4 linked regions of the Pelodiscus sinensis genome follow. The protein of the gene in region 2 purifies or fractionates together with the protein of the main gene of each other region. This does not show direct contact. Links are inferred from orthologs where the notes say so. Each region holds a gene or a part of one and is shown on either strand. Other genes may lie near its edges.

What was found.
Region 1: the proteins of MYCBP (region 2) and OTUD4 purify together in Homo sapiens (co-immunoprecipitation; 3 studies listed by BioGRID and IntAct, with this or other methods). This does not show direct contact. The link is inferred for Pelodiscus sinensis from reciprocal best matches to the Homo sapiens genes MYCBP and OTUD4.
Region 3: the proteins of MYCBP (region 2) and ARFGEF2 purify together in Homo sapiens (co-immunoprecipitation; 4 studies listed by BioGRID and IntAct, with this or other methods). This does not show direct contact. The link is inferred for Pelodiscus sinensis from reciprocal best matches to the Homo sapiens genes MYCBP and ARFGEF2.
Region 4: the proteins of MYCBP (region 2) and ARFGEF1 purify together in Homo sapiens (co-immunoprecipitation; 4 studies listed by BioGRID and IntAct, with this or other methods). This does not show direct contact. The link is inferred for Pelodiscus sinensis from reciprocal best matches to the Homo sapiens genes MYCBP and ARFGEF1.

What each region holds. Positions count from the first base shown.
Region 1 is NC_134715.1:41,054,056-41,061,671, forward strand, and holds the start of OTUD4 (OTU domain-containing protein 4), read left to right. Parts: upstream 1-4,598; 5' UTR 4,599-4,775; intron 4,776-4,794; exon of another isoform or gene 4,795-6,261; intron 6,262-6,547; 5' UTR 6,548-6,874; coding exon 6,875-7,039; intron 7,040-7,616.
Region 2 is NC_134735.1:11,659,778-11,667,056, forward strand, and holds the start of MYCBP (C-Myc-binding protein), read right to left. Parts: upstream 3,001-7,279; 5' UTR 2,780-3,000; coding exon 2,765-2,779; intron 2,668-2,764; coding exon 2,595-2,667; intron 1-2,594. UniProt on the Homo sapiens protein: May control the transcriptional activity of MYC. Stimulates the activation of E box-dependent transcription by MYC.
Region 3 is NC_134728.1:20,680,879-20,688,081, reverse strand, and holds the start of ARFGEF2 (brefeldin A-inhibited guanine nucleotide-exchange protein 2), read left to right. Parts: upstream 1-4,202; 5' UTR 4,203-4,393; coding exon 4,394-4,532; intron 4,533-7,203. UniProt on the Homo sapiens protein: Promotes guanine-nucleotide exchange on ARF1 and ARF3 and to a lower extent on ARF5 and ARF6. Promotes the activation of ARF1/ARF5/ARF6 through replacement of GDP with GTP. Involved in the regulation of Golgi vesicular transport.
Region 4 is NC_134712.1:57,511,367-57,518,623, forward strand, and holds the start of ARFGEF1 (brefeldin A-inhibited guanine nucleotide-exchange protein 1), read left to right. Parts: upstream 1-4,254; 5' UTR 4,255-4,578; coding exon 4,579-4,702; intron 4,703-7,257. UniProt on the Homo sapiens protein: Promotes guanine-nucleotide exchange on ARF1 and ARF3. Promotes the activation of ARF1/ARF3 through replacement of GDP with GTP. Involved in vesicular trafficking.

The sequences.
Region 1 (7,616 bases), on a different chromosome or scaffold from region 2:
CATACTTTGAATCCTATTCCCCAACATTTAAGGCATGAACAGTAGCATATCATTAAAACAGGTTCTGTGTTCCAGGGAACAGAAAACTGTACAGAGTAAGAGCCATTAAGTGCCCCCCTAGTTTGGGAACCTATGATCTAGACCTTTATACTTATGGTTTCCTATCAACAAGTATTGGCTGCATTCCTCCCAGCAAATTGTCTAAAGTTACTGCTATGCTCTTTTACCCTCATCTCACACTTTAATATGGTAAGTGCTCTTTTTGTAACATGTACAAGGCTCTAATGCCATCTAAAGGATCATGTGTTGAACTTCAAAAATACAGTGCATTTAAAGACTATCTGAACCATGTGAGCCTAGGGAAGAATATACATCTGCAACCTGCCTACCTGGAACTAGAGATTTGTACTAGTTCTGTGATGGAGAACAGGATAAATGCCAGAAGACTTGAGTCTGGGTGTCAAAGGGATGAAAAGTACATTTCTTATTAGCCAATATTATCTCATTCTGACACATGGTTACCCTAGAGCTTTATCAGCAACCTGAAATTTCTCCACCCTCATTTTAAAGGTATTAGTGAATTTTACTGCATTCATACTTAATTCAACCACGTCTGCATCAGCACTTTCTGCTGCCCATTTAAATAATTAAAAGGAAATAATGCTTATGGTCTGTATAGCTGTCATAGAAAAACGTGTATGTGCTCTAAATTTAGAGGAAATACTTAGAACACAGATATGGGTACTTATGTGCAGTCCTGTCATAGACTTCCTGCATGAGTATGGACAAAATGAATATATTTCCCTCAGTTTCCCCGTCTGTAAAATAAGGATAACAATTCCTAGCTGCCTCCTAAAAATAGTCTAATCCTTAGTTATATATAGTTTGCAGAATGCTTTGAAAGCCTCAAAAGAAAGGCACTTTAGAAGTGCCTAAATCATTTGCCTTATGTCTCACTAAAAGGACAGAAGTATAAACGCTTTTTTATATTTATTTGAATCTTGTTCAATTATATTACAATTCAAACAAATATTCTACAGTGGCATTAGACACAAATGATTACATATATTTGAATCGATGTTTGTGCCTAAGCAGAAAGTCTCCTTTAATAATCTGCCTTCCTGAGACTATGCAGTCATGGAATAAAGCAACTTTTTTCTCTTTGTTCTCTATATTACCACAATTGTCCTTCGGTAATTTCCCCACTCTGTAAAGTAGGTCCCTGTCCACAAACTGGTAGGTTGAGGAAGAAACACTCTTCCTTTGACCTCAACACTAACTACTACCAGATTTTTCAGCTTCTGTTTCTTAGCACAATATTGAAAAATAACCTTCTATCTTGTGATCGTACATATAATAATAATGCCAACTGATTTGAGCTGGATTTTTCTTTCTGAACAGAATTTTTTTTTCTCCTCATAATTAAGGTACTGTATTTTGCTGAAGACAGCCTCCCTTCTCTCCTGTCATTTTCCTTGGTTTCAGTGTAGCCAGGACACAATGAAACATTCCAAACTCTAGAGGTGGCTCATCAGATTCTCATGGTGGTTTCCCTTTTGCAGTACCCCATAAACTTCCCTTCTTTGGACTCTGTATTGGCAATATCTCCTAAGAAACCTTTGTGTCATCTTCAATTTCATTAGCACATTCCCACTTTTTGTGCCATGGTCAATAATAAAAATGTTAAATAAGACTGGTCCCACAATTGATTCTTCAGGATCTCCACTAGTAACCTCTCTCCAACCTGACATAACTTAAGCATTACCATTAAGAACTCCCCTTTCTTACAGATATTCTTATACCCAACTTTACAACATAGTCTATATCACCAGTATGTATCCACAACAACCTAGTCATTAGTTCATTCATTTCATCTCACTTGGACGGTGGCAACTGCTTTCCTCATTGCCTTCATAATCATACCCCCTTCTGCTACATGTTAATAATGTCTTTTCTGATTGTATTTGTATAAACCCGTGATTCTCAAAGTGGTCCGTGAATCCACTCTGAGAAAGCTGCCAATGGAATGCCCCAGTTTGTTTATTTACTGGTGCCGCAGCCACGGAATCTTGCAGCTCCCATTGGCTCCAGTTTGCAGACAAAGGTTAGCCGCGGGAAGTGTTGTGGCCTGAGCCGCTGTTTCATATGCCCCAGTTAAAACCAAAATAATTGAATGTTGGTGTCTGAGTTTTAATGTATTGGGGATTTTGAAGGATTAAATAGCCACAGACGTGCATATTGAAGTTATTTGCTCTTCTTCTCTGAGAAATAATGGCTTATGACTAGTGGTAAATAGTTACTGATTTTATTTCAGGAATACAGTATATGTTCTTTCCTTTTTTATTAGCTAATAAAAGATCAGCTAAGGAAAAATCAGAGGAAGTGAGATGACCAAGCGGCAGAACTGCCAAATTTTAGATGTGGAACAGGCACAAAAGTTCAGATCTATACTCAGTTTGGACTAAGGATGTTAAATATCGGTTAATTTACTAGTCGATAGGCAGTGCCACATTCCTCCGTTGAAATGTACAAAAACCCTGCTAAGGCTCTTGTACAGCTCAAAGGAGGAATGTGGAATCCACTGTACAGCCCGGGGCCATCAAGAAGTCCTGCTGTCTCCGGGCTGCACGCGGGCATGCCAGTTTTGAAATGTACAAGAGTCCCCAGTGGGGGCTCTTGTGCATTTTAAAGCGGAAGTTCCCACATGGAGCCTGGGGCCAGTGGGGTAATCAAGAGTCCCCCGCTGACCTTGGGTTCCATGTTGAACTGCCAATTTGATATGCCACACAGAGCTTGGGGTCAGGTGCCACTTTGAAATGCTGAGGCATTTAAACAAACAAGCTTTAGTGCATGAGGCTTATATTGGTCTAATTCTGTCAGTTTAGCCAGTGAAACGTGCCCATATAATAGAGGTCTATAAAATCATGAGTGGTATGGAAAAAGTGAATAAGGAAAAAATATTTACTTATTCCCACAATACAAGAACTAGGAATCACCAAATGAAATTAGTAGGCAGCAGGTTTAAAACAAACAAAAGGAAATTTTTCTTCACTCAGTGCATAGTAAACCTGTGGAACTCCTTGCCAGAGGACGTGGTGAAGACCAGGACTTTAACAGGGTTCAAAAAAGAACTGAATAAATTCAAGGATGTTAGGTCCATCAATGGCTATTAGCAGGGCTCGCCAGCTGCGCTGTCCGGCATTCTGTGCATGCGCAGATCGCCCAAACCTGGCTCTTCATCGATTGTCGAGCCCTGGCTATTAGCCAGAATGGGTAGAAATGGTGTCCCTATCTCTGTTTGTCAGAGGCTGGAAATGAATCACTTGATTGTCTGTTCTCTTCACTCCCTCTGAGGCATCTGGCATTCGCCACTGTTGGCAGGCAGGATACTGGGCTAGATGGACCTTTGGTCTGACCCAGTATGCCCATTCTTATGTTCTTTATAAACGGTTCAAATGGTTCTAATATACTTTAATTGCAAAACTACACTGAATTTCATCTGCAGTTGCTTTGCCACTAAAACAAAACACAAACAAAAATGTGGCATCTAATGACACTTGTAGATCATTACATTCTGATTGTAGGTTATATCCCTTCCCACAATTCTTTATCTTCAGCAGAAACTCTTTCTGTATATTTGTATTGTGCCTAAACAAAGTAGCTCTGATCTCAGCTGAAGTGTTTAGGTACTACTGTAAGTAACAAATAATAATAAATAATGTTGTTCCATCCCTCCGGAGAGATTCACACTCTTCCTCTAGACTTAACTGTTTTCTTGCTACTTTTCACTAATGGCTTGTTACAAAGGAAAGTCATACCATAAGTGAATTAAAACATAGGCAGGCTTGGAAGAATTAGATTTGTGTTGGTATAAACATGACTTCCACTCTGGGCACATCAACAAAATATATTTCTCTAAGTATGAAAATGTACAAGTAGGCAAAGGAAAAGAACTGTTGCTCGAGAACTTGATTTACTTAGTATATTTTGCCATGTGATTTTGACAGTTTGTGCTTCAATATTTTACAGTTTTTAGTCTTTGAATCTCAGCATCTACTATCATTAATTACTGTGGGACCACCGGGAGAAGGGATGCTAATTTTCTTTTAAAAGTGCTTAAATTGCCAAAATTATAAAAAATAACAATCAAACTCTCCCAAGCCTACATACAAAGACAACAGAATAAAACCCCAGGCGGACTCCCGGTTTCTGGTGGAAGAGCTAGTTTCTAGCCTAGTCTAGTCTGTGTTGTTTCGTAAGGAATTTAAACAAACAAGCTTTAGTGCATGAGGCTTATATTGGTCTAATTCTGTCAGTTTAGCCAGTGAAACGTGCCCATGTAAACAGCAGCAGGACGATAGCCCCACGCCAGCGACTAATCCTGCCCTGAAAGCCAGGGCAGCTACCGCACTGGAGCGCCTCAGACAGACCCCTGAGACCAGCTGCACGCTCCGGACTGTACCATTTAGCTGCTTCCGTGGGGGGTGCATGTGAGACACCCCTTTCCTGACGCGTGTATGGGAACAACTCGATTTGCCACCGCGCCCGTAGAGCACAAAAAATATCTCCCCTCTCCTCGCGCATGGTGCAAGCCACGGCTCCTCGCACGGGTGTGGCCGGTGGAACAAACCAACAGCAAGCGACGGGGGTGGCGGCAGCATCATAGGAAGGCGACGCGGGAGATTGAAGTGCCTGCGCCGCCGCTGGCCAGGGGCCCTCGCGAGGTGAGGAGGAGGAAGGGAGAGTCCGAGCCTGCTGCGCCCGCCCCTCTCTCGGTAAGTGCCAGTCACTGCGCAGGGGCAATTCAGGGGGAGGGCGCTGGAGTCAGCGCCTCGCCCGCCGGCTCCCCGCAGCTGGGCCGCCCCCCGCTCGCAGGCGGGTCGTGCTGGGTGAGCGCGGCCAGAGCCCCGCAGTGACACACACGCTACCCCCCCGGGCCCAGGCCCAACATCGCTGCCTTGCCCGGCCCTCGCCGCCGCGCTAAGGGCGCGCCCGGCCTCAGCCCCTGGAAATCGTTGCGGGCGGCCAGAGGCCCAGCACGGAGCTGCGTTTGGGGGGGAGCGGAGGCTGAAGCGGGTGGCTTTTGCCCGGTCTGACAATAAATCTGGAGCGTGTGTGTGTTTGTGTCTTTTTTTTGGGGGGGGGGGGAGTTCACGGCGTTTCAGCAGGCGCTGTGTTCCCCGCCCTCCTGTGTGTGCGCTTTACTTGGGCGATCCAGCGTTAAGTTCGCGCTGTGTTCCAGCTGCGGGGCGGCGGGGCTGCTTACCGCGCGTATTGGCCTTGGTGCCTAGTTTCTGATGGACTAAAAAAGGAAATAAGTGAACTTTGCTTGCAAGGGAAACTGGTGTGAGTGTCCCGCTCAGTGTATCTACCTAGCACAACTGATGTACGTCTCGCCTCGCTTGTGACTCCCCCCCCTCCTCCTGTCTGTCGGCTCTCCTCCCCCATAACTCTTCTCACAGTAGTTACTGGTCTCCCAATCACTTCACTGTGGTTGTCTGGGATTTGCCTTTCCTTAAAGCAACACTGAAATGTCTGGCTAAAAACACTTCAGCGGAAAGATAAAAAGGACACCAGTTCCTGGAAGAATGCTAAATGAAAAGTGAGACGCTGCCAAGAAACGTTATGGGGTGAGGAGGGGTTGTATTTGCTAGGTCTCCAAGCAGTTTAAAGTTTGAGCTAGCAATAAAAGCAAAAATGCAACGTGCCTTATGGTAAAGGACGAACTGTTTTTTCCACTGCTTTTTGAGAGCACCATACGTGGACTGGCTGTAATCATGGGCATTACAGGTTAACTAGTTCTACACTGCTTACTGGATAACTGTACCACCTTGAACAAGCTGTAGAACCGGAAAGTGACCTTTTCAGTTGTCTTGCTTCTGATCTGAAGGCGGTTTAAAAACAACTTGTGAAATGCCCCATGAAAAGTAAGCCATTCAGTTTAGCGGAGGAACTGTAGCCTGCTTGTATGGCGACAACGCCAGAACTAATGATTGCATTTCTCATTGGCTCAATAATAATCGTGTCCATGGAAGTCCCAGCAGCGCTTTTGCTATAAAAGCCAAGACATGAACTAGTTAAGGCAAAAAGCCCGTGTGCTACAAAATGTAGGCGTTCCCTCTTATTTTGAGCTATAAAGCAGCACTAATGTAGGAGGAGCAACAAAAAGAATCGAAACCTGAACTGCACCATAAATTGGCAATTTGCTAGACCTGATACTGGAGTCCTAACCTGTTAAGTATTTAGAAAGGCGGCGGCAGTGTAAGTAGTTCGTTTTGAAACTTTAGTTCACTCACTGTCGTAAGCGTTTTGCCTCGGATAACGTGGAGACAGCACGGTATGTCAGGACTGTGTGCTCATGGTTCGTACAGAGCACGTCCCTTCTATCCTCTTCCTATAGGAGCCCCCACCGCTTCCTGTTTCTCTAGAACTACATCTCCCAGTAATATCTCTGGCATCGAGTTGAAAGTGAAAACAAACTTTAGGTTACCATTTCTTGGCAGTAGTAGCAGCACATGTCCTTTCTCTTCTGTTTTCCGCTTTACAGCTTGGGTGTGTACAAGAGAAGCCATCAATACTCATCGTCCTGAAGAAGGGGTCGGAGCCGGACCCCTCGGATTATTTTCCGAGAACAGCTGTCGGGCCCTCTTGAGAGGCCAGAAATCGACTCTTTTAAAGAGCTAATAATCCAAATTATGCAGTAAAAATCCGTCCATGAGTCTCACGTGAAATTTGACAACGTAAGGCCAGCTGGTGTTCCTGCTGCTGCCCCGATTGCTGAAGAAGGAAGTACATTTCATTCCCAAGAGCTGTTGTCGTAGCCATGTGGGGCTAGGAGAGGAGCAGTGATTCTTTACGGTATTAAGCAGTAAATATGGAGGCTGCCTGCAAATCAGATGGCGGGGAGCAGAGTCATCCTCGTAGCAGCGTGGAAGCGCCTGGGGACGCTTCTATGGACAGCTACCTGCGATCTCAGGGTTTATATAGAAAGCGGGTTGCCAAGGATGGATCCTGTCTTTTCAGGGCTGTAGCTGAGCAGGTAAGTAGTTTATTTAATTGAAGTAACCAGCAGTACTTGCACGTAAACGCTGGCGATAGCTGGGGGGTGGGGCGGAGGATGGATCTCATTAGTGAGTGTTAATAAGGATGAAAAACAAGGGAGTGAGGATTAAAAAAACGTTGTCTGTGTCAAGGGGAAAGCACCACATCTCAGGGAGGTTAGAGTCTGACATACTGGCATGTGTGCACACTCCTCGTGTTCCATCTAGGGACTTTAGGTTGAAGTTTTGAACTTCCCAGTCTCAGAAAAGGATTTTTTAGTGCAAAATTAGCACAAACTGGGAATAGTCACCTTGTATAAAAACCATCCAGGAAACAACTTTAAAGCCTTTCCCTGCTTTAGATTGTGAATGAGTTTGCTGAAGCTTTTGAGTAAGATAATGATATTCATGTCATGTCTCCCCCCCCCCCCCCCAACCTATTTTGAAAAAAGAAAAGTGTCTTAAGTACAAATAAACTGCTGTGGTAGGACTAATGCTTCAGATTCTGACCTAGGTCTCCTCACTTTGAGTGGTATTGTTACATTGATCACATTTCTCTTCCACTAACTAAAATTA
Region 2 (7,279 bases):
CTCCTCACCCCCTTGCCAGTATATTTTTTAGCAGGCTGGCCAGCAGCCCGGCTCAGTCCTGGCTTGCAACATGTCCAGGCCCTACCAACTGAGGTGGCTCTGCATTTAAAGTGTATTTGTACGCAGACAGGCAGCCAAGATCAGTTCCAGCTTGCGCTGGGTCCAAGATCTCAGAGACAGCAGCACAGGGTGATGGGCAGCCGATCCACGAGGGGAGATGATTTTTAAACTGGCTCCCCCCACAGACCAGTTCCTGCCTGGCACCCCACAGAGGCAGCAGCAGCACTCCTTGGGAGTCTAGTCGGATTGCACTAGCTGCTAGCATCACCTCTATGAACTATAGAATAGTTGACTAATAAATAAGAATTCATGAAGTTACTCAACTATTCAATTAACCAATATTTAACATCCCTAAACCAAAGCCAGGGTCTCCTTTAATGAGTTTGGAAACTCAGTATTCTTCTCCATCACCAGGCCACCTTTACACTAAGGAGGAGGAAGGAGGAGTTGGAGGTGGAAACAAATTCCACAACCTGCTGCTTTGCTTCTAGAGTTGAAGCAAGAATCCTAAATAGTGTCTCAGGATCGTAGCTTGCACTTACAGTACAACATTTGGCTTCATCACGTTGTGCTCATCTCCAGGTGCACTCAGTATTACATTGAATATGATACTCAACTTGTACTTTGAACCAAAGACAGCCATGTGGCACAAACTTTGAAATATTCATTTTTTACTGCTTTGTGGACTGAATCCTCAAGTAGGGGTATGACTTTTGGTGGAGGCTATAGCTGCTTCCCTCCTCCCCCTCCACTTGCTCCATTCAACCAGTTAACCAAATGTGATTTTACATCCCTATCCTCAAGTGAACTTGAGCCAGCATTATGTTATGTTCTCCAGTGGATTAATTCATTCTTCGATTTCTGGATTTAGATGAAGCCAAAATGAATATGGCTTGTGTGTAATTTATAGGCTGAGGAAGTGAATATTCATATAATTACAAGACTAAAAATACAGAGAAATATTTAATTGCCTCTAATTCTTTGTATATTGTTTGACTTCCTTAGATTGTAAGCTATACCTGTGAAGAAATTTTAAGATTTTCTATGTTTAGCCCAATGTCATCCCAATCCATATATGGGGATTTGGGTACTTCCACAACAGTTTATAGCCAGAGCTGATAGTTAAGACCTATACGTAAGGTTGCTTAATAACTTCCATTAAGACCCTGCTTGTAGTTCATTTTCCAGTTTGCCCATTTGGACTGAAATTTTATATACATGCCCATGCCTCATGTTGAAGTTTTTTTGAAAGTTGTACCCAACAGTTCAGCTGTTTCCAAGAACGAAATTAAGGCAAAAATTTTGTTTTGCCCATGCTAAAAATTCTTACACCTATTTGATTAAGAAGCTATATTGCCTCTGCACTTAGCAGTACGGATGGCCTTGCTGTTAAGAGGTATGCCTTTTGCAATCCCTACTACAACCCTGCCCAAATTATAGAGATTCAAGAAATTGCTCAGGAGAAGGAGTTATGCTTTGTTGGCTAAATTTTTCCAAATTCAATGTGCTCTAAGCCTGCTCCATCTCTGAGTTGAAGACGGATCAGGACTTTCCTTGCAATTTCTCCTCTTAATTGCTGGGTGCCACAAGCAGTGCTGAGCACAGGAATCAAGAGCAAAGAAACTCTTCTGTGCTCTCAACTCTGCCCTGCTACATCCAGGCAACACAAAACTGATATGACTGAACGCTATACATACATTAGAGGAATAAACAGGACTTCTGCCTCGTTGGGGAATCAAACAGAACTTTGCAGTGAATGAGCTGTTCTGTACAAGAACCCTGCCTCCTTTGATATAGAGTAGCGATGGGCAACCTAGTGAATGGGCCGACTTGAGCATCCCTCCATCTCAGTGGACCACAAGATTGTCATAAGCAGCAAGGTGGTCTCCTGGGATAGGGTAGTGGTAACTAACAGTTTGCTAACTGTACTTGTGTACCAAGAATTCGTGGGGTGCACCAACTGAACAACATCAGCACTTTGCCTGGATGCATAGGGAGAGCAGGGCTCGCTCAGTCAGTGTTGTGTGCAGTCAGCAGGCACCTCACTCCGGGTACCTTTGCTGGAGGTGCATGGTGCTTCAGTAATAGTAGGAGGACTACTCCACAGATGGAAGCCAGGGGAACGCCACACAAGCACGACAAGAGGTCTCGTGGGCCACCCACAGAACCCAGACAGGCGACAGGCTCCCCACCCCTGTTGCAGCGGCCCAACAGCGTGCAGCAAGTCAGGCACAAGACTACAGGAAGAAGAAGGGAGTAAGTCTCAGGGTGCAGGATCTCCCGGAAGAACCGAATCGGATCCCTGCTTCTGCTGGGCGAGTCACTTGAGCCCCAACTCCCCGGGGGGGTTGGACCCGATGACCCCCCCCCCGCGAGTCTAGGGGCCCCCTAAGGGCGTGGCGGCGGGTCAGAGCTGTGGAAGCGGGGCGAGCCCTCGGCTACAGGGGGCGGGGCAGAGAAGGGCCCCGGGGGAGCGGACGGCGGGGGGGGGGGGGGAGCGCGAGGCCCCTGAGAAGGCGGCGCGGGCCCGTTACCTTTGGTGAGCGTGTCCAGCACGCCGGACTTCTCCAGGTAGCGGCGGAACTGCTCCCGCTTGGAGTCCGCGGCCTGCGGAAAGGAGGGGACAGCGTTAGCGGGGAGCAGCCAGCGGGGACACCCCGCCCCCGGCTCCCGCGGAGCCCGAAGAGCAGCCGCTGCCCCGCACCTTAAAGTGCGCCATCCCGGCCGAGACGCCGCCGCCGCTGCGCTAAGCGCGCATGCGCCCCGGGGGTTTTATGGGGGCGGGGAAGGCACGCCGCGTCCCATCTGTTCCTAGGGAGACGGGTGACGCTAGCACGCGGCCCCGCCCCGCCCCCAGCTTCTGTTCCGCGGCCTTGGCCCTCTCCGCCAGCTGTGTCTGCCGCCCGTTTGGCCGCTCGACCCGGCCCCTCCTCTCGCCTTCCCTCAGCCCCGCCCACCGCCTGGCCGCTCAGCCCGGCCCCTCCTCCCGCCTTCCCTCAGCTCCGCCCCCTGCCTGGCCGCTCAGCCCGGCCCCTCCTCCCGCCTTCCCTCAGCTCCGCCCAGCCTCTCAGCCTGGTCCCTCCTCCCGCCTTCCCGCAGCTCCGCCCCCTGCCCGGCTGCTCAGCCCGGCCCCTCCTCTCGCCTTCCCTCAGCTCCGCCCAGCCTCTCAGCCTGGTCCCTCCTCCCGCCTTCCCTCAGCTCCGCCCCCTGCCCGGCCGCTCAGCCCGGCCCCTCCTCCCGCCTTCCCTCAGCTCCGCCCAGCCTCTCAGTCTGGTCCCTCCTCCCGCCTTCCCGCAGCTCCGCCCCCTGCCTGGCCGCTCAGCCCGGCCCCTCCTCCCGCCTTCCCTCAGCTCCGCCCCCTGCCTGGCCGCTCAGCCCGGCCCCTCCTCCCGCCTTCCCTCTGGCCGCGCCCAGCCTCTCAGCCTGGTCCCTCCTCCCGCCTTCCCGCAGCTCCGCCCCCTGCCTGGCCGCTCAGCCCGGCCCCTCCTCCCGCCTTCCCGCAGCTCCGCCCCCTGCCTGGCCGCTCAGCCTGCCCCTCCTCCCGCCTTCCCTCTGGCCGCGCCCAGCCTCTCAGCCTGGTCCCTCCTCCCGCCTTCCCTCAGCTCCGCCCCCTGCCTGGCCGCTCAGCCTGCCCCTCCTCCCGCCTTCCCTCTGGCCCCGCCCAGCCTCTCAGCCCGGTCCCTCTTTCTACCTTCCCGCAGCTCCGCCCCACGCTTGGTCGCTCAGCCCGGCTTCCCTCTGGCCCCGCCCCCCGCCTGGCCCCTCTTTCTTTCCTCCCTCCCTCCCGGTGCCTCTCCCGCCTTCCCTCTGACCCCGCCCCCCGGCTGGTCCCTCAGCCCAGTCTAAATAATTGTTGGGGGGAGCCACAGCTGTGTGTCTCATTGATAAGGGGGGGGCGAACTCTATGAGCTTTCTCTGGCGACCTCTAGACTGGTATGATTTTCTGCAAATGCTTTTAACGGAAAAGTTTTCTGTTAAAAGTATTTTCGGAACAGAGCGTCTAGATTGGCAGGACGCTTTTCCGCAAAAGCACTTTTTGCGGACAAGCGTCCGTGGCCAATCTAGACGCGGTTTTGCGCAAGAAAGCCCCGATCGCCATTTTCGCCATTGGGGCTTTTTTGCGCAAAACAATACCACGTTGTCTACACTGTAGCAGCATAGCATTTCCGCAAGAAGCACTGATTTCAGACAGTAGGAAGTCAGTGTTCTTGTGGAAATTCAAGCGGCCAGTGTAGACAGCTAAATTTAAGCATGAATGACAATTCTGAAGCTTCTCTTTGAAGTCTGGAGTTAAAGTCTCTTTGAAGCAATATGCATGTTTTAAGGTCATTGAGGGAATGGTCAGTCTGGCTGAAATGGCAAGCAACAGCTTTCTCTTTGTGAGAAAGTCTTATGTCTGTTTTGTGTGCATTGATTCTTTGGCGAAGTGTCTGAGAAGTTTGTCCAATGAACATAGCAGATGGACACTTTAGGCACATGATGGCATAAATTATATTTCTGGATGAACAGGAATATGTATTCTTGATCTTGATCTTGTAATAGGCATGGTTAGAAGTAAGACAGATTGATTTGGGATGTGGATCCATGCGGGGCTGTGCTGGGTGCTGACGAGTCTGTGTTGTTCTCCAAGGGGGGCTGTTACCCAACTCTGTGCCTTTGCTGCTGGGGAGGAGGGGGAGGAACGGAGCTTCTGTCCCAGTAGGACAGGGTGGTGGGGCGCCCCAGAGGGCAGGTGGATGGGTTCAGTGGTACAATCAGCCCATCCTGTGAGTTTAGAGAGAATCTCTGATCCAAACCATAACAATCATCCCTATTGTACCATTTGGGAAATGAGGCACAGACAAATTAAGTGCCTTGAACAGGTCACACAGGAAATTGGTAGCTGAACAGGGGATTGGGTTCTCTCAATACCCTGACAACTGGCCCATTCTTCCGCTGTCCATGTCTGTGAGTGGGGTCTGCTGAACACAGTATTATCACCCCCAAAGGTAGCAGGTATCCCCTCATTTGCATAGGACTTAATGCTGCTTGCAGAGTGGTTATGTATAGGCACTGGGAACATGTGCTGTCAGAGAGTCGGTATGTTCAAAATAGCAGCAAAGTGGCTCTAACACTCTCCAGAACTTGGGGTCCTCATCCTGCCTCCATACCTCAGTCACCATAAGCCCCCAAGCTCCTTCCTTTTGAGAGGAAAGTTTGCAGAAAATTCTGTATAGTCAAATGCCTTTCTCTTCCTCAACTCCAAGCCCCAATGCCCCTTCTGCAGCTATTTTTATAGAAAGTTATGTTTTGGTTATAAATATTTAGTTAAAAATATAAATAACCAAAACATAAACTTTTCAAAGTTGAGAAGCACCCATCCATTAACTGCTTTTGGGAGCCTGCCTTAGCCCCACTGCACCACAGAACAGGAGCTGTGGGAGGTAAGCACTGGAGCCTTCACCCTGAACCTGCTGCTCTCTAACTCTCCCACAGCTCAAACTCCTATCCCAGCTCCAAGCCTGCTCATGAAGTCCACAACCCAACCCCCTACCCCCAGTCCTGAGCCCATTCCCATACCCAATCTCCCTCCTAGTGCCTGTACCCCACACTCCCTCTTGCACCCTCAATCCCTGCCCATCCCAGTTAAAGTGAGTGAGGGTGCAGGAGTGCCACCAACAGAGGCTGGGAATGGGACCTCAGAGAAGCGGAGGGGTAGGGCAAGGGCATTTGGTTTGTGCAGTTAGAAAGTTGGCAATCCTCGCATCTGAACTAGATAACTGTTCTCCATTCCTTCCAAACATACGTTTCTATAATCTTAAAGGCCTGATCAAAAGCCCATTGAGGGCAATGGAAAAGCTTTCATTGATTTCAATATGCTTTGGATCAGGTCTCACATATGGTTTCACATAGGGTGAAAAAAAAAAGTTCAACTTAATTATTTTGTATTACAAGACTTAAATGGAATGCTTTCCTCCTCTATAAAAGAAATTATTCCCTCATCCTCTATAAAAGAAATCATTCCCTCACAAACACAAAAGTAGATGAATTTTGACACCTGGCATGTAAATAATGTTCACTTTGATATCATAACCAGGTTTGCAGAATAATATGACTGAAATATTTCCACCACTATGGGGAATAAGTTTCAGCTGAGAGCATCATGCAAGGGGACCAAAGAATTATGCACACTCAAATACCTTTCAAAAAATAGTGCCTTACCTTCCATGTTTCCATTTGTAAAATGGGATAATTATACTTATCTCCTTGGTAAAGTGCTTCATGGCATACTGATGAAAAGCACTATATGACTACATCTACACTGCACCATAGTTAGAAAAAAGATGTTCAATTTGAGCTACGCAAATTGCGTCTCTTATTTCAATCTTATTTTGAAATAGCTTATTTCGTAATTTAGCACTGTCTGCATAGCACCAAATTTCAAAATAATCCGCTATTCCGAAATGTCCATTACTCCTCGTGGAATGAGTTTTACAGGGACTTCAGAATAGCGAGCCCAAAATAATGGGCTTGCTGTGAAGATGCGGGATAGTTATTTCGGAATACTCCAGTATCCTGAAATAGCGTTGCAATGTAGATGCAGCCTATAAGATCTAGGAATCATTAGCAGGGATGTAAAAATAACAAACCCATTGTTTGTATAGTTGTGTCTTACAAAAGATTCTGTTGCCTTCTGCCATATTGTGCAAATTCTTAAGTTTTAATTTTAGCTAAATTTCATGTTTGTTTTTCCTTTTCAAAGATACTGTGTGCAGTCATTACTATGTGAGTCATACATTCTCCCGAAAGAAGCAGCAGGCTGTAAACTCTTTGACAGACTTCTGCACAATTCAGTGAATTGAGATGAGAGCTTCAAACCCCAATTGGGACTATTTAAAAAGTAACATTATGGCTACTAATGTATTATTTATACAGCGCAAAAAGGAGTGCACTAAGCATAGTTATTTTTTTCTTTAAAAACACATTATTGCAAATTTAAGTATACCCAATTAAAATTTTAAATCAGAAAATGAAAAAGTTAAGATTACTACATGACTGTTAACTCAAACATATTGCCCTTTTTGTCTTTAATAAGGTAGTCATTTAGCAATATCAACACAATAATATACAAATATGTATTTACCTCAGATGCTAAAGTGATAGGTACCAAAGAAAAAAAACTAAGATTTAACAAGGTAGTCAAGAATGGTTAAAACTTCAGCATGTACAACATGATTAA
Region 3 (7,203 bases), on a different chromosome or scaffold from region 2:
TGAACCCAGAGGTGATAGTACTCTGGTGAGCCCCCAGTGCACTGCTCCAGTAAGAAAGAGCTGGAGAGCTGGAACACTTGGCTTCAGGAGGAGGCATGACCCGCTCTCAGGGCTTCCTGCCAAGCTGCAGGCAGGCAAGTTAAAGGGTCTGGCTGGAGGTGCATTCCCCCACTTGTCTGGGACTGCCCCAACCCCCAGAACCGCCCCTACTCCCCCCTAGGTCCCATTTAGGAAGGGCAAGGGGGCTGAAGCTCCACACCCTCCTGAGATTCATGCAGAGATTCACGCTGCCACGGAGCTTCCAAGAGGCAGCGCTGCCTGGAGTCCAGGATCAGCTGGAGACTCCAGCTGATCTCGGGCTCCATTCAGCACTGCCCCGTTGAAATACCACTATGGTGTTTCAAAGGGGAGGTGCATGCAATTAATCGTGACGAAATATTTTAATTGCTTGACAGCCCTAGTTTCCACTGGAAGCACCTTTAATGTACCCAAATAATTATCTTATAGTGTAGTGCATTGGGTTGGAGACAAAGGTGATGCAGTGAAGGCTGCTTCTCTATCTCAGCATGCTTAGTCTTAGTCATTTTGATAGCTATCCTTCTGGACTTTTTCCTGAAAACTTGATGCTGATCTAATGTTTTAGAGCAGGTGGGGTTTTCTGTGCATATGATCTACAACTTGGTTGCTCCAAAACTGTAATGTCAGCCCTTGCTTGCTAATAAAAAACAGTTTTCTTTAATCCATTTCCTTTCTCCTGCTTTCAGTCCAGGGACTAAGGTCTTTTAAAATGAGAATTTAATTTTCTTTGTGTGAGAAATCACTTCTCTTCTTCATTACCTTAACCTGTGACCGAACATTTGTTTGTTATCTGTGGCTTCAGCTGGCCTTCTTGGTAGAATTGTATAACATCTCTCAATAGAGGGGAGTTGCACCGGTTTTCTGTGTACAGACCTTTGATTAAAATAAAAACAAAACTTCACATTATTTTAATATCTTTCCTCCAAAGATCTCAAAGCGTTTTGAGCATTATTAATGAATGCAGCTTCAAAATCCTCTTCCCTTTTACTTAAATATTATTATCCCAGAGGACAAGCAACAGCTGGACAGCCAAGAAGATAATGTAATTCAGGAATGTTTTGGGGGGAAATATCTGATAAGGAGCAGTGAATGGTGGGACTGGGATAATGCTTTTTTTGGAATGTTGGATGGGGTTCTTGATTATGAGATTAATTCAATATATGTGCAACTTTTGTTTTACTCAATGGAGTTTTGGTAACCTGTGGAGGGCGGGGGGAGAAGGGGCAGGGATTCAGAAAAAAAAGATTCAGACTGGAACTCAATGATCTCTTGAATTTTCTTTCAGCCCTACTTTTCTAGGATTCTAAACTCAAAACTGAAATGAATTTTTTCAGTTGAAGAGAAACTCATATTTTTAATCAATTTTTTTTTCATTTTGATTCAGACAGATAAAAACAAATTGCTGACAAATGAACTTTTTTATTTTTAATATAAAATACCTATTTCCAACCAAACTAATCACATTGCAATATAATATAGCAATGAATGTGCTTCATATTTGATGTGATGACACTTCAATACAATGTTCTCAAATGTTCATCAGCTCACAGAGCTAATCAATGATACTCTGCTACCCACATACCTTCTGATCTGATTTGTGAGATTCAGCCCTGTCAGAAGGAGGAGTATTCTGTGAGGGCACTAGCAATGGGCAACCTAGTATCCTAGGTAACTACAGATAGTAGGTTTAAAACAAACCAAAAGGAAGTTTCTTCTTCACACAACACATAGTCAACCTGTGGAACTTCTTGCCAGAAGATGTTGTAAAATGCAAGACTAGAACAGGATTAGATAAATTCATGGAGGATAGGTCCATCAATTGCTATTAGCCAGGATGTGCATGAATGGTGCACTACCCTCTGTTGTCAGAAGCTGGGAATAGATGACAGGAGAGAGCACTTCTGTTCATTTTCTCTGGGGCACTAGGCATTAGTCACTGCTAGAAAACAGGATGCTGGGTTACCTGAACCTTTGCTTTGACGAAGTATGACCATTCTTATATTCTTATGGATCTCCTTCATCTCTGTGCACCACAAGATTGTCATAACCAAGATGGTTTCCCAGCCTAGGGTAGTTTTGCTGACTGTGCTTGTGTAACCCACACATCTACTCGTGGTGGTGTAGTGGTCCCAGTGTTTCTCAATCTTTTTTTTATAAAGTACCCCTTTTAAAAAAATTATAAGTACCCCCAGTATGTACAGTTTTCAGACACGCTATTTTTTTTCTACCATTGCAACACATTTGTTTAAACAACTTAATTGTAGCCAGGCTGGCGATGAAATTTTTGGGTGTAAAAAGTACAAAAATAATAAAGCGCTGTAAAACTTAAAACAAAAATTCTGTTTTCTCCAAGTTTCAGTTGTTGATGTTTCCCCCAGACTTCTCTCAAGTACCCCTAAGAATATTTGTACCAATCTTTGAGAAACACTGGCATAATGCAACTCAACATTCAGATTTGAATGTTTCAAATGCTCCAAATTTCAGTTGTATTGACGTACCCCCCAGCCTTATCTGGAGTACCCCTACAGGTACTCATAGAACTGATTGAGAAACGCTGTAGTATCCCATCTAGTGGCACTGAGACCACTTATAGAGAAAATAATGAGATTGCTCTACAGCCTTAGTTGAGTACTAGCAGGCTTTGAGCTCATGTGGTAAAGGCTTATGAACTTAGCTGTAGCGATCCCAGGTTTGATTCTGCCTGTGAGCATTATGCTTTCATACCTAGAATTTGCAGAGTCTGCCAACTGAGCCATAGCTTTGCTTTGATGGGATGCAGAGAGGATGCACTTTACAACATCTTACAGTCAATGTTGTATGCCATCAGCACACACCTCGCTTTATGTGTGTGTCTCTACTACCAGCAGTAGGAAAAAAACAATGCGGATGGAAACCAGCAGAATATGGCAGCCCTACACGTGGGCAACAGTAAACAAAATGTCTTGTAGGACACATATAGAACCCCAATCAGCTACATGTGGCCTGTGAGCTGCAGGTTGCTCACCACTATCCCAAGAAATAGTGATGTTGGCTTGTCATATGTCACCAAGCAAACTTGATGTTGAGGCATGGCCTGCAGAATCACTTCCTGTCACAGTGACATGAACCTCTTCATAGAGACAATGCCACACTGGTGCCTCCTGACTATGGCTATGTCTACACTGGCGCGATCTTGCACCAAAAATATGCAAATGAGGCTAAGCATGGAATATCAGTGAGCCTCATTTGCATATCTAATGAGCCACCATTTTTGCAGAAGAGGCTCTTGCACAAGAAGGAGCGTCTACACTGCCCCTTCTTGCGCAAGAAAAACCCTCTTGCACAATGCCATTATTCCTGAAAATAATTAGTGTAACGGCATTGCGCAAGAGGGTTTTTCTTGCGCAAGAAGGGGCAGTGTAGACGCTACTTCTTGTGCAAGAGCCTCTTCCACAAAATGGCAGCTCATTAGATATGCAAATGAGGCATGGCGATATTCCACTCAGCCTCATTTGCATATTTCTGGCACAAGATCACGCCAGTGTAGACATAGCCTAAGTGTATGTCTACACCACAAGAACGGGTGCCACCGTAACACAGGTTAGGCATTCCCATACGAGAGGGCAAGGATAAGTATAGTAGTGTGAAAAAAGCAAGTTCTGTGGCACCTTAGAGATTAGCAGATTTATTTGGGCATAAGCTTTCGTGAATAAAAACCACTTTGTCGCATGAGTGAGGTGAAAATCACAGAGGTTGGGAGCTACATGTGTATAAATAAACTAGCACACACTATAGTAGTGTACACGACAGCTAGCAACGCAAGCACAAGCCCTCTGAGCACCTTGCACGTGCACGCCATTCTAGCCCACGCTTAAGCCCAGGCAGCCGTATGCGGCTAGCATCCTTGCTAGCTAGTGGCCAGCGACTGCGGCCTGGCAAGTGCAGCTGTAATAGGGGCTGAAGCACTGAGGGGGCAGGGGGCCTTCTTCCTCCCTCCTCTGTAGGCCCCTAGTTGTGATCTCATCATCAACCCAGCCCCCGCCTCCACACACCGTGGCCACGCCCCTCTGCCAGGCCACACCCACTCTCCCAACCCCGCCCCCCGCTGCTGTCACTATTGGCAGCTTTGTGGGTCAGAGGTCACGCCGGAAGGCGCGGGGGGAGGGGGAGGAGGGAAGAGTTGGAGGAGTCACGTGACGGCCCCAATATGGCGGCGCCGTGTCCCTGTCTCTATTGCCGCTGCTGAGGGAGTCGCGCCTCTTCCATATCATGGGGCCCCGACGCGGGCGGAGCCTCTGAGCCCCGTTCTCCCTTCCCCCCGCCGGGGCCTTCGGCCATGCAGCCCCCGGCCCGGGAACAGGACACCCGCACCAAGAGCATGTTCGTCTCCCGGGCCCTGGAGAAGATCCTAGCGGAGAAGGAGGCGAAGCGGCCCCCGTACGGCCAGCTGCGGAGAGCCTGTCAGGTGGCGCTGGGTGAGTCCCCCCTCCCTTTCGTGGGTAGCCTCCGCGCCGCAGGGACTAGCTGCGAGGAGCTCGATAGGTAGCGGGGGATGAGTCCAGATCGGCTCAGGCCCCCTGTATTCTCTGGGGGGGCCAGTCCCCTCCCGTGTTGCGGGGACCCAGACAGCTGGCGCCAAGTGAGTCCGGATCAGGGCCACCCAAAAGGTGCCCATTCCCTTTGTGTTTCCCTGCAGGGAGAGCCAGGCAGGTGTGGCTGGGCGAACCCTGCCGGGACTGGGAGTTCACCACTTCCCCCAGCTCGCCCGGCTGCAGGGAGTCATGCAATCAGCGTGCAGCCCGTCTCTGCCAATGGGCAGCAGCATTATCAGCGACTGCGACTGTCATTAGTTTTACTGTTCTGCAGGTTAATCTGCCACGTTGGAGCCTCTTTGGTCTGTGAGCAAACAGCCTGCCTGACACTAGATCTTCCTGGCTCACAGGCACTCTGTTATTTCCTGGACACACACATTTTTTTGAGCGAGGAGGAAAAAGAGGCCTTATTTTAAACTCAGGAAAAAAAGAACATGGTCAATTCTGTTGTTAATGTAAAGGCTGTGGATTATTTTTAAACTAGCTAAGGGGCAATACAACTGGAAACCAGGAGGGACTGTTAAAGAACTATCAACTTTAAGAGCAGCTCAAGCTGATGATTCTTTAGCATCTTTTTTTCTTCAAAGAAAATTTTAGCTAAAAACAACTAGCTTTTCAAGTATGTACATTGTGTCTTAAATACTGGTTTTTACTGAAACACACTAACATGGCACTCTGAAATTTTCATTGACAGTGCAAAAGTAACTTGCAACTATAACTGCTTCTTTTAATATATCAGCTAAAGTAATGGATTTTTGGGAAAGTTACAGTGCATAGGATAATGAAAACTAGTGTTTGAGCAGAAGGAGTGGTATTAGATGAACCAGTCCAGTTCTTATGTTCAAAGGTTTCAGTAGCTTTCCCACCCCTGTTTAGGTTCCTCACCCCTGCTTTAAATAATGCAAACAACACAAAAATCATGTGTCGGTGCTCCAGCCTCACCCCGTCCTCTGTCAGTAGAGCTGGAGCACAGTTTACTAGCCTGTAGGTTTTGGGGGGGAGGGGGGGGTTTGAGGGGCTTCTCACGTCTGTGTGGGCTCCGACTGATTTTTTTTTTCTGTAGGTCAGCGGTCCCTGACACTAAAAAAGGTTCCCCACTGGGATAACATCAGCTTGAATTTTTTAAAATCAAATTTCAGGTCCTATACTTACCTTGGAGTACTTGTAAAGCCACAAAAACTGTAAAACAAAGTGTTGCTCTTTGTTCTGGCTTGGTTTTAAGTGCATTTTCCTTAGCACCATATGAAATACATAAAGTGGGAAAGAGGACTTATTCAGAGAAAATAATTAAGCAAACTAGACATAAAATGCTGTTAGGTAGCCTGTGTAAAAAGAAGTACTCCACCCCAGCTCTGCCTTACAGAAATATTGTGGTGTTAATTGATATGACATGACGTTAGCTTGGGAGATGGGATGAGGAATCAGGACTTTTTTTTAAGTTTACAGTTTCTGTTTTGTGAGGATAGTATTATGCATATTGCCTTAGAAATGCCAGACCCAGAAACCCCTGTGAGGATTTGGGCTTTATTGTGCTGGGTGCTGTACAAATTAGGAATGTGTTCGTATACGCAATTAAACAGTTAACTGATGAGTCTGGACTCGTTGGTTAACCTTAATGGTTCCATGCATGGCCTTCCTGCTGCCTCTGTGTCAGGCAGTAGCGTGGGGGGGGGGGGAAGGACCAAGCAGGAGCTGCTTTTAAGCCAGCTCCCCCACACATTGGCTCCTGGGTAGCTGCGTGCCCCCTCCATACTGCTGCTTTTGATATAGTCAAAGACAATAGAGCTATTAATAAAATTTCTGTGGGCTATTCAAACCATAAAAAGAGTGATATAAATGAATTTTGAAATAATTTCTTGTGGTGTTGCACATAGACTGTCTTTGGGGAAAACTGGAGGTGGTGGCTAGCATAAAGCTGACTTTTCATGTTTTTGGTTGTGTTTCTAAATCTGAGTCAGAGACAAAGTTGGGCATGGGCAGACAATAATATCTTGCCCAGCGATCCCTACTCCTCTAGAACCTTGATTGCTGCAATTAAGTTTGGAGAGCATTGCCAAATAACTCATTAAGCAGCCATCTTGATTACATTTTCTTCTATTTATGCATCCAGGTATTAATATTTCACTTCCTCAATGTTACTTCATATAAGCCAAACTCTTTTGGAGTTATTTGTATTATCTGTAATTAATGAATCTTACATGATATATTTGTTAAATTATTTTATATATCATATGAAATATTCCCACACTCCCCAGTGTAATACAACTGTTGTAGTTTGGAGAATTGAAGTAAGACTGCTAAGGGAGAATAAGGCTGGAGAATTATTTTTTTTCATTAATGTCACCTGTTTTCTTAGGTCACTCAAATCTTAAATACCCCTCTAATCATGTTGTCTCTTTGATATTGACCAACACATGTAGTGCTTTTTAAAATTAATGATTTGCCAGCAGAGTCCACCTACTGAAAGAAAATCACAGTGACATAAAGTAAACTTTGTGTTGTTAACTAGCATCCTGCAGTTGTCAACTGTCTCTTTTCAAAATTTCTTATTTGA
Region 4 (7,257 bases), on a different chromosome or scaffold from region 2:
TTTGTGTATGGAAATACACATTTACACATGCAAAATGGATAACTGATGCACATGTGACAGTTATATACAGTTGCCTTTTTTTCTTCATAGTTTTAATGGCAACCATCTGTCTTGTCTTGTAAGATGGTGATGTAAACATCAAAGCAATTCAGTTACTATGTATCATGCTGCAGCATTGCAAGTGGCTTAAATGTTCAATTCTCAACCCAAAAAAGTCCTTGCAGTGATACTACTGGCATAAGGTATGAAGACCTGAGGATGAAGCCAGTGTACTTACTAGCATGTTAGGTCTGCTTCAATTTTCTCTTCTTTTTTTCTGCTTTCCAGTCTCTCAACCACCTCTCTTTAACTGCATGAGTAGTGCTCAAGTGTAACCTGTTGGTAGTGGCTTCTTCCCAGCGTGCATTGTAAATGTTAAAAGTTTCAAGTCCCTTTTTCAAACAGCTTTGAACCTGAGCCTACGTCGACCCAGTCGCAAGTTCTCTGTACAAGAGAACCTTTGGAATGTGTCCATCATCCATCAGTCACAGATGACCAAATAAATGGAGACATTTATGTTTGAGAATAGTTTGAGAATTCGACTTGGGAATTTTGTTTTCTCAGGCCCTTCGGTTTCAGGAACTTTATTTTCTCACGTGATATTTAGAATACAGGAAAAACAGAACACGTGAAAGGTGTTTAGCTTTTTCTTGTGCCTGCTGTCAGTGGTCCACACCATATAGCAGCATGCTCAAAATTCATGTCTGGTAAATTTAGATGTTTGTGTTCAATGCTAGTTTTCTGTTGTCCCACAGAATTAAGTTTGTCATCTAGAGATAAGTTATCTCATACAGATGATCCCATATGGCAGCGCTTGTGCACAGCGTCTAGCATTATGCTAGATATTAAAACCTAAGTGGAGTCAATACATCTTGTACCATAACAATTAACATCTTTAGACTGATGATTAGTCCACATGCATCACAAGTTAATGCAAAGCCTTGTTGCAAAATTCCTGGAGCTCTTCTTCACTCTGTGCAACACACACTACATCTGTCTGTTCAGATACGTAAGGCCTGCTAAGGCGACCACATAACCTAGTATATCCTGCCAGGGATTGAGTACTCAGCAACTAAACTGGGTGATACCCATTGGAATGAAGCCTCCCTCCACCCCCACAAAGGAATAATTCCATCTGGCACTGCTGTCTTGCTGCTGGTTCTTGGTTGACCAAAGACTAGGGGAGAAAACCCTGAACCAAATCTGTTGTGGAGAAAATGTCAGAATCTCCTATAGCTGTGTTGACTTCCAAATATCTTGATCATCAAGCTTATGGACAGTCAGTACTGTCAAGAGAGGGGCTTTGGTTCAAAGTACGTCTCTGCATCCTTATTTTTTATGCCTATGTATATGCATCAAAGGTTCAGGTACAATGGTCACCCTTTTCACATGTACTGGTATGTGTACTGATATATCAAATGACCTGGAGAAGGTCAGTGATCCTAAGCGGACTGCCATTATTGACAGAGAGCTGGGGAATCATGATATCAGCATAACCACTGTCTCTAAATCAGAGTAGGTGACACAGGCTCTCTATACAAGGTGTATTGCATTGTCTTCTTGCATGGGAAAAAGCAAACAACAATGCCATGTACTGAGGGTGATTTGGGGATTTTAGCACCATTGATTGAATGTCTCATTGGACTATCTGAAATTATTATAGCACTAAGAATATATATCACAGGTGACTGCCAACATCATCAATACACATGACCCAACTCTTTCCCCCAGATCTGAAGAGAAGAATTTGTTCTATCAGCAATTCAACAGCATCATCAGTAAGACGCCACTGGATGAGAAACTCTGTTTACTGGAAGACTTGAAAACAAGAGTCAGATCAGCTCATGAGACATGGCCACTAAGCACTGGTTACAATGGAGTGGGAAAAATGAACAATGGGCAATGGCTACTGGAGCTCTGCATGCATGGAAGACTGTGCATTACCAACATTTACGGTATTTCCAAGGTAGTTGTAACTAGAAGGTCTTGTGGGGACACCCCAGCTCTGGACTCTGGTACCAACTTGATTTAATTGTCACATGTAGAAAACAACAACGGAATATTCTCCATACTCAGTTTTCATAGTGCAGACTGTGACATAGACCATATGCATGTATGCTGCAAAATAAGGCTTTTGTTACAGAAATGTCATTGTACCAAACAAAGTTGTTGCCCACACATTAACATGAACAACACAAAAGGTGTCCCAGAGCATAGTAATTTCAAGAAAATAATAGACTGTTTGTGCCAAATGGACTGCGCTAATCAATAGAAAACTCTCTTTTCTAAATACCACTTTGTCATCCATTTATGGCTTTCTAAGGAGATTTGTGTTGAGGCAATTTTTGAAAAACAAACAGTAAGGCACCTGCAGGATTTCTTAGTTTTGCCAATTGGTCACCACTGTTAGGCTTGAAAAGCCAAAGACACTTTGATATCTACAGTGAATGAACCTGTGACTGGCATATGGAGTATCCATATTGTCTGTGTAAGCAAAAGGCTTTTCAGTGAACACAAAGTCAGAAAAAAGTATAATTAACTAACACCACAAAATACTTTTATAGGGCACTGTGCTGCTATAAGTACATTCTTTTGGATGAGGTGTAAACCCAATCTTAACTGCATGAGATCATTAAAGATCCTACGGTGTTTTTGGTACAGTAAGGGTGTTAGCCATTTTAATTATCTTGCTCACTCTCCAATATATTAAATCACATTCCACTTACCTATATTTCCCTTGTGCCTTCAATTAGATACAATATTTTCATTTGTTTCATGCCCTGTACTGTAATATAATGTTTCTGTAGGCTACTGAAACAGCTGCTATGGTCTATCCCAAATTTAGATACATTTCAGTGGCAGGTGACATAGCTATGATAGTTGTAGATGTGATTTGTGATTGATGTAGCTGTGCCAGCAAAAGCCTCTAGCACAGGCATAGTTATATTAGCAAAGTGTGCTTTTGCCCATATATTTTATTTGTCTGGGGGGAAGGAAGAGGGGTGTACGGGGGGAATTATACCAGCAAAAGTGCACTTTTGCTGCTATAAACTGCATCCATTCTAGAAGTACTTTGCAGGTATTATATGCTGGAATACCTATGCCAGCAAAATTCTCATCTAATGTAGATCTGGCCTTACTTACAAGTTAAATCCTACAATTAGATACCTATGTTCTAATTCTGAGCAAAATTTGAGCTTACTGTTATTTATTGTTACATAGCATTTGTTGAGAACTCAACTTATGCATGATTCTCTACAGAATATGAAGAAAATACCATTCCTAACCTAAGGGAATGAGGTCTATGATAAACATAGACAAAAATTAAAACACAAAAAGTGCCTTTTAATCACAGGAGGTTTTTTTTAGTTTAGGTTTTTTTTTTCGTATCTCACCGTACACTAAAGAGAAAAGAGGCGTTAACATTGATGGCCCTTGCAAAATAACTTTAAGGAGAAAGAGGGTTTCTTTCATGTATTGTTGAGTTAATGCAGTCATGGTGAAGGAAGCTACATTGTGGGGATGTTCATTTTGCTCTAGATGACTAAGGTGTTGGTTTTCTTGGCATCAATAGCAAAGAAAAAACTGTTCAGAAAGACCGTGTAAATGCTCTGAGGTCTTTGGCAAAAAGACACTTTATTTAGAAGCACACAGCAATACTATTTAATAAGAAAACTCCTGGGGGTGCTCCTCAGTCCTCATTAGAATCATGAACAAATTGAGTTAGAAAGTGGAGGGCTGAGAGGCTGGGACAGCATGAATGCAAAAGACTGCACTGTGCCATGAGAGAACACTCAGCAGGGCAAGCAGGTCTGTCCAAAAGAGTTCATCCCCCCAGGCAGTGCGAGACCTGGGCAGGCTCCCTGAGGGAAACTATGGCTGTAGTCGGGGTGAAAGTTTGGGGGGGGGGGGGAAGCAGCTTTGCCAGAGGGAGTCTCTCCCGCAGTGACGGGGGGCGCTGCCTGAGGCAGGCTGGCTGGCTCGGCGCCCGGAGGGGGCAGTGCTGCCGCTCCCTTTGCTGAAGTAGCGCCCAGGTGGCAGCGCCTTGCTCTCCCCAGCCCGTTCCCCTCTCCCCGCACCTGTAGCGCGCAGCGCGCCCAGGAGGCGAGTCCCTGCTGAGCCTCCGTAGCGCCGCGACTCGGCCCGCGCCCTCCCTCCGCCTTTCTGCCGGGCTGGGGCATCGCGCTGCCGCCGCTTCCTCCTCTGCAGCCCTTCGGCCGCGGCCCTGACGTCGTTTCCTTCCAACATGGCGAGCGCAGGTTGCTGTCGCCGCCGCTAATGGAGGCTGGTCCGGGCGGGCGGGTCCGGGGCTGAGAGCGCCGCGGTCCGAGCGACCTGCCGAGCGGGGCTGCAGCGCCCAGGCCGGGCCCGTCGCCGGGGGCCTCGCTCTCGGCGCGGCGACCTGCCCCGCTTTCTCCCCTCCCTGCCCCCAGCGGCCGGGCGGCCGCAGCCCCGGACCTGCAGCCGCCCGAGTGCCCCCGTGGCCCGGTCCCCGCCGCCTCCCCCCGGCGGGAGCGGTCGGTCCCCGCGATCGCGCCCATGTATGAAGGCAAGAAGACGAAGAACATGTTCCTGACCCGGGCCCTGGAGAAGATCCTGGCCGACAAGGAGGTGAAGAAGGCGCATCACTCCCAGCTGCGCAAAGCCTGCGAGGTGGCCCTAGGTGAGAGCCGGGGAGGGAGCGGGGGCTGGGGTAGCAGGTGCGCCCTCCCCCCTCAATTTATTTCTCTACGCCGGGTGAGGGGGGAGACATGGCGGCGGTGGGGCCAGTGCGTTGATCTGGGAAAGCTACGGGGAGTGATCTGGGGGTGCCCAGGAGTGAGGGGCAGAGGAAGGAAGCTGGTGGAGGGATCGGAGGGGCAGGAGAAGGGTTAGCTAGGACTGGTGATTGAACGGCAGCATGATACAGGCCTTTGTGATCAAGCAGAAGCTGTGGCCGTGCTGGTGTTTGTGTAGCGGTGGGTCGGGAAAAGAGACGGGGGGTCCCCAAGCTGCTGATTATCACACTGCGAGCAGGTACGGGTGGGTTTGAATCTCGGAGAGAGAGAGGTTGCGTAGTTGTTCCTTTTTGACAGCGAGCGGAAAGGTGCAGTCGGTTGCTTGGCGGGTTTTCACCGCCCCACACGCCCAGGATGAATAGGCAGAGAAGAAGGTGTGTGTGTGTGTGTGTGTTGAGCTGACCTGGAAGAACAAGGCCGCCGGGGAGGGAGCAGGTGACAAGCAGTGATAAAGGGGGAGGGGACGAGAAAGAAATGGGGGTGATGGAAAACAAGAGACAATGACGCTCAGGCCCCGTCTAAAATTGATGTCTATTCTCAGAATTGGGAAGCTGTTTTGTAGGGAGGAAGAATGAGGACGAGGAGATTGGATCGATAGCTATTTAAAGAGACCCTCAATAGAGCATATGTATGGAGAGGAAAAATAGCTACTAGGAAAAGGGGTTTCTTTCATGTATTGTGAGTTAATGCAGGCACAGTGAAGGGAGATACATTGTGGGTTCATGTTGCTCGAGTCTCAATTAGCAAGGTGTTAGTTTTCTGGCAGTTGAGTGTATAGTGTGGTTGTTTATGTTCATGATGAAAGAAGAGTTAGGTTTGTGACACAGCTGAGTGTATAGAGCTTAGATGAAGTGATATTGAGAAGAAAAGCCAGTTGGGTAGTATGAAAAAATGCATTTTGTTTGAAACATCATGATAGCATAGGGTAGGTCCCAATCTGTGGACTTAGAAATGTCTGCACATTCATAAAGATATTTGTATTATTTATTTGGAAGAAAATCTACCTTTGGTTTGTTTGGATGTAATCATTTTTATCCTTAAATTGGCAATACTGACAGTGTTGTAGACATGGTTTTCATTATTAATTTTTGTTGGTGAGCTGTAATATGTTAAAGTAGATTTATTTAAAGGACATAATTAATCTGAAATGTATTATTAAAATTGAATTACAAATATATTAATGTAATACACCTGCTACTTTTGTGGCTTTAAAATCACATTTTCCCTTTTTTAAATAAAATATGTCTCCTTTGTGATCTATCCTGACCAATAGAGAAAACTCAATGTAGATAAACTAACTATTCACATAGTCCTATCAGACAAAGTAAACAAACTGAATAAAGTATTTAATCTCTAATCTTTCAGCTATAGTTTCTAATTTTTCAGTTTTAAAAAAAAGTGAGTCCGTTTGACTTACAACATAGATTATGCATTTGCCCTCTTAAAAAAAAAAAAAAAAAAAAAAAAGCTCAACTAGATATTAAACATGCTGTTTAAATAACTGACATTATATCTGGACTATTTTATGTGAAATTAATTATACAGTAGGAAAGCTCATGAGATTACACGTTATTTCAGAAATTGAATTATTTATTTGTATCCCTGGAGCATCCAGATGCTACTATCAGGATCTTATTCCCATTGTGTTAGGTGCTATAAAAACATAAACAGTCCTTGTTCTAAAGATCTTGCTGTCTAATGTCCCGATCATGCAGATTGATCTGTGCTGGCAGACCCACACTCTCAATGAGCCCCATGGATTTCTGTGTCTATGTTGAGCTTTGCTGAAACCTTCAACTCTGGCTCTAATTCCAAGACTGGCATCTAAATAAGGACAAGACATGCATGGTCTGAAGATGGTAAAGGACATGAGTGTGAAATAGATAAGGGCAATACAAGATTTATATATTAGCTAATATATAAAACATGAATTCATGGATCTTGTGACTAGGACAATTGAATAAATTAATGCATTATTGTTTTTACTGTAAAAAATGTTTAGACTGGTGCAATAAAAACCTTAATGGGTAATTGTTTGGGGACTCAACATTTGTATGGTCTCATCTGCTATTTATAACACTGATATTTAACTCTTGAGTAGCAGTTCACATCCATAGATATCTAAATGCTTTACAAAGGAAGAGAAATACTGTTTTCCCCATTTCACAGATGGGGAAACCTAGGCATGGAGGTGAGATGTCTCACCCACATTACATCCGTGACAATGTGGTCGATAGAAATGCTCTGACTTCTAATCTATTCCCTTGTTGGTTTATACTGCCTCCATATAGGTTGAACCTCTGTGATCCAGGACTCTCTGGCCTGGCAACATCTGTGGTCTGGAATAGGCATGTAATAGTGTAGTCAATTAACTGATAAGCAAAAGCCTATAGGTTAATGTAGGGGTTCTCAAACTTGTGATATCGCGACCCCCCCCTCA